Linked DNA regions of Struthio camelus. The protein of the gene in region 1 interacts with the protein of each later gene in a pairwise test. Links are inferred from orthologs where the notes say so. Each region holds a gene or a part of one and is shown on either strand. Other genes may lie near its edges. The genes, in order: TCEANC and OBI1.

What was found.
Region 2: the proteins of TCEANC (region 1) and OBI1 interact in binary tests that used the Homo sapiens proteins (3 or more experiments, as listed by UniProt). The two-hybrid records come from large-scale screens. The link is inferred for Struthio camelus from reciprocal best matches to the Homo sapiens genes TCEANC and OBI1.

The regions. Positions count from the first base shown.
Region 1 is NC_090942.1:140,518,718-140,522,627, reverse strand, and holds the start of TCEANC (transcription elongation factor A N-terminal and central domain-containing protein), read left to right. Parts: upstream 1-1,713; 5' UTR 1,714-1,823; coding exon 1,824-1,914; exon of another isoform or gene 1,915-1,961; intron 1,962-2,107; exon of another isoform or gene 2,108-3,910.
Region 2 is NC_090942.1:175,961,487-175,965,396, forward strand, and holds the start of OBI1 (ORC ubiquitin ligase 1), read left to right. Parts: upstream 1-1,109; 5' UTR 1,110-1,145; coding exon 1,146-1,430; coding exon of another isoform or gene 1,431-1,520; intron 1,521-3,910. UniProt on the Homo sapiens protein: E3 ubiquitin ligase essential for DNA replication origin activation during S phase.

The DNA.
Region 1 (3,910 bases):
TAACACAAAGATGATTTAAAGGAGAAGCCTATGCAGTCCTTCAAGCGGGAATCAGTCCTCCGAACCTGCCCCGAGAGGGACGTCCTGTGTTCTGAGCCCTGCTCAAAGAGGGGTAATGGCGAGAGGCAGCGAGTCGTGCTCCTTCCTGTGCTTCTCTCTGCCAAGGGAGCTCTCTGTCTTTGTCATGGGCAATGCACTTTCAAGCGGAGGGTGTAAAGAGTTCTCTACATACCACACTCGCAATCTTAGCAGACAGAAAAAGGTTAAAGAAAACTAGCATCGGAGAGCCTTCTCTTGGGATCCTCAAACTGAGACTAAACTGAAAGTCTCGGATACTGCAATGACAGCTGCTGCTAAGCTAATGATATACGCATGCTGCAGAAAAACATAAATACATGTAAGATAGCCCATTGGATGACGTGCTGTATTTGGACTTGGAAGGCTTGGACTGTGTTCCTGGTCTGTCAGCGGTTTGCTGAGAGGGGTCGGGAAAGTCACCTCCTCTGTCCCAAGTTCTTTGCCTCCTCTCATCTGGTTATACTATGGACTCTCGGGGATAAGCCTTGTCCCGCACTTTGTTGCTGTACGGGCCAGAGAGAGGAGGCACGGAGGAAGCCAGATCTCAACTGTGGTCTCTGTTTGCCTGCAATATGTAGCCATGTGGAACAACACTAACCATTGCAGCGTGTGTTCAATCACTAATGAATTTGTTAGCTTGACACACATAAATTGTGAGGTGAGTTAATTATTACATGAAATTAGCAATCATTTAAGATTCCTCAGTTATCAATGTACAAATCAACCACTGCATCACTGCATCACTTCAGACTCCACAGACCCTGACAGCTTAACACATTGTAATAGTAGGCAATAAAGAACACTGATTCACTGGCTCATTACAATGATTTAATAATTTGCTTATTCTTATACCATTTTTAATAGCATATACAATAATGCTAGGGTTTTTTCCCCTTTTGTGATTAGTGCTGGTGATGTTTATTATGTAAAAAAGGGGGGAAGGGGAAGAGGTGTGTCTGCCTTATATGGTACTCAAGTTGAAAAATGCATTTGGCAAGTTGATTTCAGGTAGGAGCCCTCATTGTCAGCAGAGGGCTCCAAAGGCCTCATTAGTAAACAAACACAAAAACGTCTTAAGAAATGACCCGGCTTTTCCACTGTAATTGGGGATAAACTCCTCCGTACACCTCTGCATTTGCTGTAGAACGGACTAGGTGTATTAATCTTTTAGGCAAGCATTTTGAATGTCCAATGTAAAATATATGTGACAGGGGAAAGCACAGCAATAAAAAGTCAATAACAAACGTATTAGCTTTGACTAAAATGCATCAACTTTTAGATGTTGACTGCTGAATAAGTTCAGCACCTGTCATTATATCCAAAAGCTGTTACCCTGTGACGCGTGCTTTATAATATTTAGCTTTAACCCTGTGCATACCGACAGCTCAATTCATCATTCAACCAGCTAGTTGTTTATGCTTAAAAGTAATGCAGCACAGCGCTGAAAAATGGGAAGGTTTACAATGGTTTTGCCCCTGTTAGCTTCACACAGGATACTCATTTACGTGTCATACCGGCTTGCACTAGCTGCGTTTGCTTGAGAAGGAACACACCGACACGGAGGTTAAATTTTAAAATTACGCATTAACAATTTTTTTTTCCCTAAGGCTCAGGACGGAGCAGGGCCAAAGCCCTTTTTCTCCCCCGCTATTTGGGAAACACACCGTCTGAGAGCGGCACCCACGGCCCGCTACCCAGGCCGGCGCCCAGCGGGGCGGAGCGGGCTGCCGCTGACCCCGCACGAGATGGCGGCGGCTGCGCTGCCCGCAGCGGAGGCAGGAAGCGGCGAGCTAGGCGGGGGGGGGGGGAGGCGCCATGTTGAGGCCCGGCGCGGAGGTAACGGCGCCAGCCTCGGTGCCGGGGGGTGGTTTGTCGGTGAAGCTGTGCGTTTCGCCAGGGCAGCGGCAGCGAGGCGCATAGGCTCCCCCCGCGCTGCCTGTCAGGGGATGCCGGGGAGACGTTGCTGCCCGTCTCCGGGCGTTGGGAGCGCGGCCCGTGAGGAGGGGGCGGCGGGAGCGAGCGGCGCGGCGCGGGGGCGCCGGAGCGCCCCGAAATGGCGTCGGCGGCCGCGGGCTCGGCCCGCCCGGCGGCGGCCCCCGACGCCCGCAGAGAGGAGCCGTCCGCGCTGCTTCGCCGGGTGGCGCGTTGAGGCGGGTGCCAGGCTGGTCCCGTTTCTTCCGTGGTGGGGTGACAGGCGTGGCAGGCCCCGGCTCCGGCCGCGCGGGGCCGCGAGCAGGAGCAGACCCAAGGAGAATCGGTGAAGGACGGCGTGGCGCAGGAAGCGTTTCCTGAGGAGTTAGTGGTGGTGGTGGGTAGGTCAGTGCTTGCTTTTCTGTCTGTCTTCGGCGTGCCGAGGAGACCGAGAAAGGGGGCAAAAATTTGCCCTTAAGCAATACGGCAGCGGACCCGACTTCAGCGGGAAGCGTCCGAGGAGTTGTGGGAGAAAGACCTCTGAGGAAGTTTTAATGGCGAATTTGAAATAAAAGGCATGGAGTTAGCACACTCCTCAGATCCCTGTGTGGGATCCATTAGAAATTGCACTGGGCCACGGTTTTTATGGGAGCGATCGCAAACTAATTTGCAGTCAGATTTGCATGTAGTGTCTTACACTAGTGTCCGACACCCCCGTTACAGTGCCGATGGTCGGCCACTGGGGTAGACACACCAACTCCCTAAGCCCTCCAGGTGAGCTGTGGTCTCCAGTTGATTTTCCTGTCAAGCAAACGTCAGCTGGTTTTATCCAAATGCATGCGGCAGGGCTGCTTCTCTGCACTGTCGTAATTACCCTAGTGATTTGTCATGAGCGGCTGTAATCCTCATTGCGGAAGAGGCTAAACTTGAAAATTGCAGGATGAATATCCGTGCTGATGGTACTGTGGGAATTTTTTTGAGATTTATTGTGTTAGTCTCCACGCAGCATTGATGTATTCAGATAAGTCAACTGCTGACATCGATTTGGAATGGAATGAAAGAGTTCACACTTTTATTCAGCAATGTAGTTTTGTTTTTCATAACTAAGGACTTTAAAAATCCATTTCAAGTGTATGTCACATCCTTCCTGTTTTCAATCGGTATATGTCAAGCATCGTTGAAAGCTCTCAAATGTTTAGACTTTATATGTATTAAGCATTCCCTTTTGTATTTTAGCAGAAGAATTTTTAAAAGTTGTTAATATCTTACAAATATGCTTTGTTTGTAACATAATTTATTTGTAAAGGAGTGGGGAACATATGTGCTCTTCTGCATGTAAAGGAATATGTTTCTAAAGGGAAAAAGTTATTTAATTTCTCAATGGAAGACCTGTAATAGAATGGTAAAGTGATATCTAACGTAACTATATCCCCAACAAGTAAATGGTAAAAGGAAGTAGCGTGGAGCTGAGGCTGAGCTAGAAACTGAACGTTGAAGCAATAAGTATGTTCGTTCAACAAATGATCAAAAAATACCTAGTCACCCTCAAAAGTTCACGACAGATTTTATGATTTACGTGTTTCATTTTTATAGTGTATTGATTTATTTTCTCAGCACAATATGTTATGAAAAGACACTGCAGACAGAACATTTACTTCAGTTGTGGTATACTGGAATTTAAGCCTGCAAGTAATTATTAAAAGAAGCCTTCAGCAAGGTAAAAGCTCTGTTGGGATGCGTGCTTTCATTGTAACATCAGCTGGAACGTCTACAACTCAACAGCTGTAGTAAAAGTGGTTTAATTCATAAAGAATATTCTCAGCTAGTTGTTACCAGTGAGGAAAGTCAGAGTTGTCACTCACAAGGTGTAGCTGTACCATTTTTAGTCCTTTCTTTTTTTCTTTTTTTTTTTTTTTTTGCT
Region 2 (3,910 bases), about 35 Mb from region 1:
TTTACGCTTGTTTGAATTAGCTGCTCAGCATTCTAAGCATGTGGTGCAGTGTTAAGTCACTCAGCTCTATAATTTTTCAGCGCGCTGTGGCACGCTTACAAGAAACTACAGGAATCCTGGGACTGGAGGTCAAGCTAAGAGACTCCTAAGAGCCCTGTCCTGCCAGCACCATTTTCCAGCTGCTGTCAGGCAGTCTGGAAAACACAACACTGAGAGGCGATGATGTGGATAGTCAGCGATACAAGCGCAGTAACACACTTGGCTTTTCAGTCACGGATGTGACCCCATGGCTACCACGGATCAGAGCAGGAACGTCCCTCCAGCATCAGCAAGTGTTACTGCACGGCACTTGCAGAGTCTGGGGGCTTTCCACAGTCACAATTTCTTTTCTGCCCTCCAAGCCGCAGCAGCCCAGACTGTGACAATCCCACCAGGACCAAAAGGCAACGCTTCGAGCCAAGCATCAAGACGTGCCTGTTGGAGGCTGAGCACCGGGAGGATGGCCGGCACAACACACGAGGTCGCTCCGAGGTGCAGAGTTGCCGCAGCAGTGCCCGGGGAAAGAGCAGCTGAGGCTCCGGCGAGCGGCGGGGAAAGGGGTGATGGCGCCCTAGGAGTTTATTCTGGGATATGTTATCATCTGTGGTCGCATGATTTCAAAAAAGGAAAGTTGGGAGAGGTAGGCTCAGGGGAATTCATAGCGTTTAAGCGGTTGGCCTTATTTCACAGTAGGAAAAAGGTTTATTGGAAAAAAGAGACCTCCCCAACCACATGCACCTCTTTCTGCGAGGCGGCTTCACACCGAATCCTACCCAAAAACCTGCCTTGCCTTTCAGCAAGGCTGCGCCTAGGCCACAACCACTGCCAACCCCCCGGGGGGAGCTTCCTGCTGGCAGACCCCCAGGGCGAGAAGCTGCCCAAGGAAGGGCTCCCGTGGGCCGCGGACCCAGCCGGGACGGCCGAGGGGCAGGGAGGCCCCCACTCCTCGCCAGGGCGGCTAGCCCTTGGCCTCGGCCTGGGGGGCCGAGATCCAGAGTGGAAGCTGCCTGCGCTGGTGGTGATGGTGGGGTGCGGGGGGGGGGGGGAAGGCGTGCTTTGGTGCAGCGACAGGGGCACAAACGTGAGAGGCGGCCGGCGGGGCCGCCATGGCGGCGCTTCCCTGCCGCTCCCCTCCCGCCCTCCAGGGGAACGCTTCCAAAGCGCGAGCGCGCGCGCGCGCGCGCGCTCCGTTCCTTGCCCGGCGCGGCAGGTTGGCCTCGCTGGCTTGCCGTACTCGGGAGTTTGGCGAGGGGGGTTCGCCGTTGTTCTGCCGTTGCCGCCCGCGGGACTTCCGTGCTGGCGGGGGCCCGGCCGCCGCCATGGCGCAGAGCGGGCCCAGCGTGACGCTGTCCCTCACGCTGCCCATCACCTGCCACATCTGCCTGGGGAAGGTAACGGCGCCGCCGCCGCTGTCGCCAGCCCCGGCCAGGGGGCAGCCGCTGCCCTTCCCCCCTCCTTCCCTCCCGGCCAGGCGCGGCCCGGTAGGGGTATGGGGCGGGCGGGTCGCCTCCGTGCTGCGGGGTTGGGGGTCGGGCTCGCCCCCGAGGGTGGCTGCTCGGAGGTGCCCGGCCGTGGCCCGAGGCCGCGCCCGTACCGGCCGTTGTCCCTTTAAGGGGGCTGCGGTTCTGAGCTGGCGAGAAAGTTGGGGTGGGCGATCCCGCCTGCGGGAGGGGCGATCTCCCCCGGGGGGCGGAGAGGGGGATCTCCCCTGCGGGAAGGGTGGTCTCCTCCGGGGGAGAGAAGAGGGAATCCTGCCTGCGGGAGAGGTGATCGCCCCCGGGGGAGGGGGGGATCCCGCCTGTGGGAAGGGTGATTTCCGGAGGGAGAGGGGGATCCCGCTTGCGAGAGGGGTGATCTCCTCTGGAGGGGGGGATCCCACCTGCCGGAGGGGTGATCTCCGAAGAGGGAGAGTCCTGTCTCTAAGAAGGGCCATTTCCCTTGGTAGTGGGTGGATCATCCCGCCTTGGAGCAGGGCAGGATCCCCCGAGAGGGGAGGCCCCCCACTCCCCTCGGGAGTGGGTGGGCGGTCTGGTCCCTAGGAGGAGTGAGCCTGTCTCCAACAGGGAGGATCCCGCCTCGGGGTAGGTTGGGATCCCTGATCCAGGAGGGGCCATCCTGTTCCCGGGGAGGCGGGAGGAGATCCAGTCTCCAGGTGGGTTGCCAGGAAGGTTTGTTGCCACCTTTCAGATGGTGGCGACTGTGCGTGCCCTTGGCGGGAGCCCCCCAGGGTACTGCTAGCAAGGGCTGCAGACCACAGGTCCCCCAGGCACCCCCGGTCAGCGCCCCACCTTCCAAAATATGGTTGCATTGCTTTCAAGTTAAGGGGGTTTTTCTGCCTCTGATGTCTATAGGAGCTCAAATATTTTAAAACGTAGGGTAAGTTTGTGTTTGAGCCTGGTGCTGTATCACAAAGGACAAGTGAAAAAAGAATTTGTAAATAGAAAGATGTGTAACTGAGTGGATTAAAAAAATCATTGAACAATATTCCAGCAGTTTGGAGAAAAAAATTAATTTTCCTCTTTCTTACTCGAGAGGATTTCAGTCCTTTCCTCCCTCAGGAGGAGGAAGGCTGTTGCTAGTCTATTCTTCTCCAAAAGCCCCCAAAACCAATAGCTGTTACAAGTTGCTTCTCAGATTCTTTGCTCTTTTCCCATTTCTACTCTTTTTTTAATTTCCCTGTGCTCCAAAACAAAACAAACCTCTCAAAACACAACAGAAATTATAAGGGAGGAAATATGAACATAAAGGTTATTTCTGCTCAGGCATTTATTGTCCTGTTTCTTTCTACCTTACCTGGCCTTTACTCCAAGACCTTTGCTGCTTGTATGATAAGATGACAAAAGGATTGATGTGTTTGATGTGCAAAATAGGTGTAGCATAGGTGGTGAAATAGTCGGACATCTGCTCTTCGCAAGTGTCTCAACTCTGACAGAGCACAATGCTTTCAGCAACCATGTTTATGCATTTCTTGGCTTTTCTGTAGAAACCAAATAAGGCATCCCCAGTGTGGTTGTCCTCTCTCCTTTTCTATTTACCTGTTTAGTGTGAAGGGAGGAGAACACAAATTAACTTTATCTGTAATGAAGAGTGGATTTTCTTTGAAAAGGAGATTAAAACGAGCTGGTAATTTATTGCTAATTTGAATCTGTTCCAGGTGATTTCCAAAGTAATCTAAGCACTTAATAGCTTTGTTATGTATTCACTCATATATTGCTATGAAACCGTTGTCTCATTTCAAGCCGCTATCTCATACTTCCACTTTTAATTCTGAAACCGATTAGGAATTGATGTAGCTGAGTTTGTAGCTGGAAAAGATTTCCACAGTCGTCTTCCTTCATATCTTGCGTTGAGCTTATATATTAACATTACAAGTGAATCTTGTGGTGACATCTCTAATTAAGGTCAGTGAACGCTTTCCTTCTTAGATGCCTGAAGTTAAAACTTTGGCAAAGTTAGGCTGCTCAGGCTGCATTTTTTCTTACGAATCTCTGCAGCTTGAAACTTTGTTGAAAGACTTCAACAAGAAAAGCTTTTCTGTTTTCTGTTGGGAGGAAGAAAAGGTTGTTTGTTTTAATTTTGAGGGAGCAGTCTTGCAGTTTTTGTCCTGTTGAAGGAGCAGAAAGTGGAATGGAGGGCTGACATGTTCTAGTACTTCTGTGGTTTGTAGCATAGGCTTCACACTTAATATTAAGGCCCACCCTGCAATTGGAAAATACCTCTTCATAAATCTGCAAAATTTGCAAAGGGTTTGATGTAACCCAGAAACTTCAACTAACATATTTCGCTATGCATAGCGGTGAGAGGGTAAAAACACGTATTAAATAGAGACTCATTCAGTAATATCATCCACTCATTGTAATTAATGAAGCAG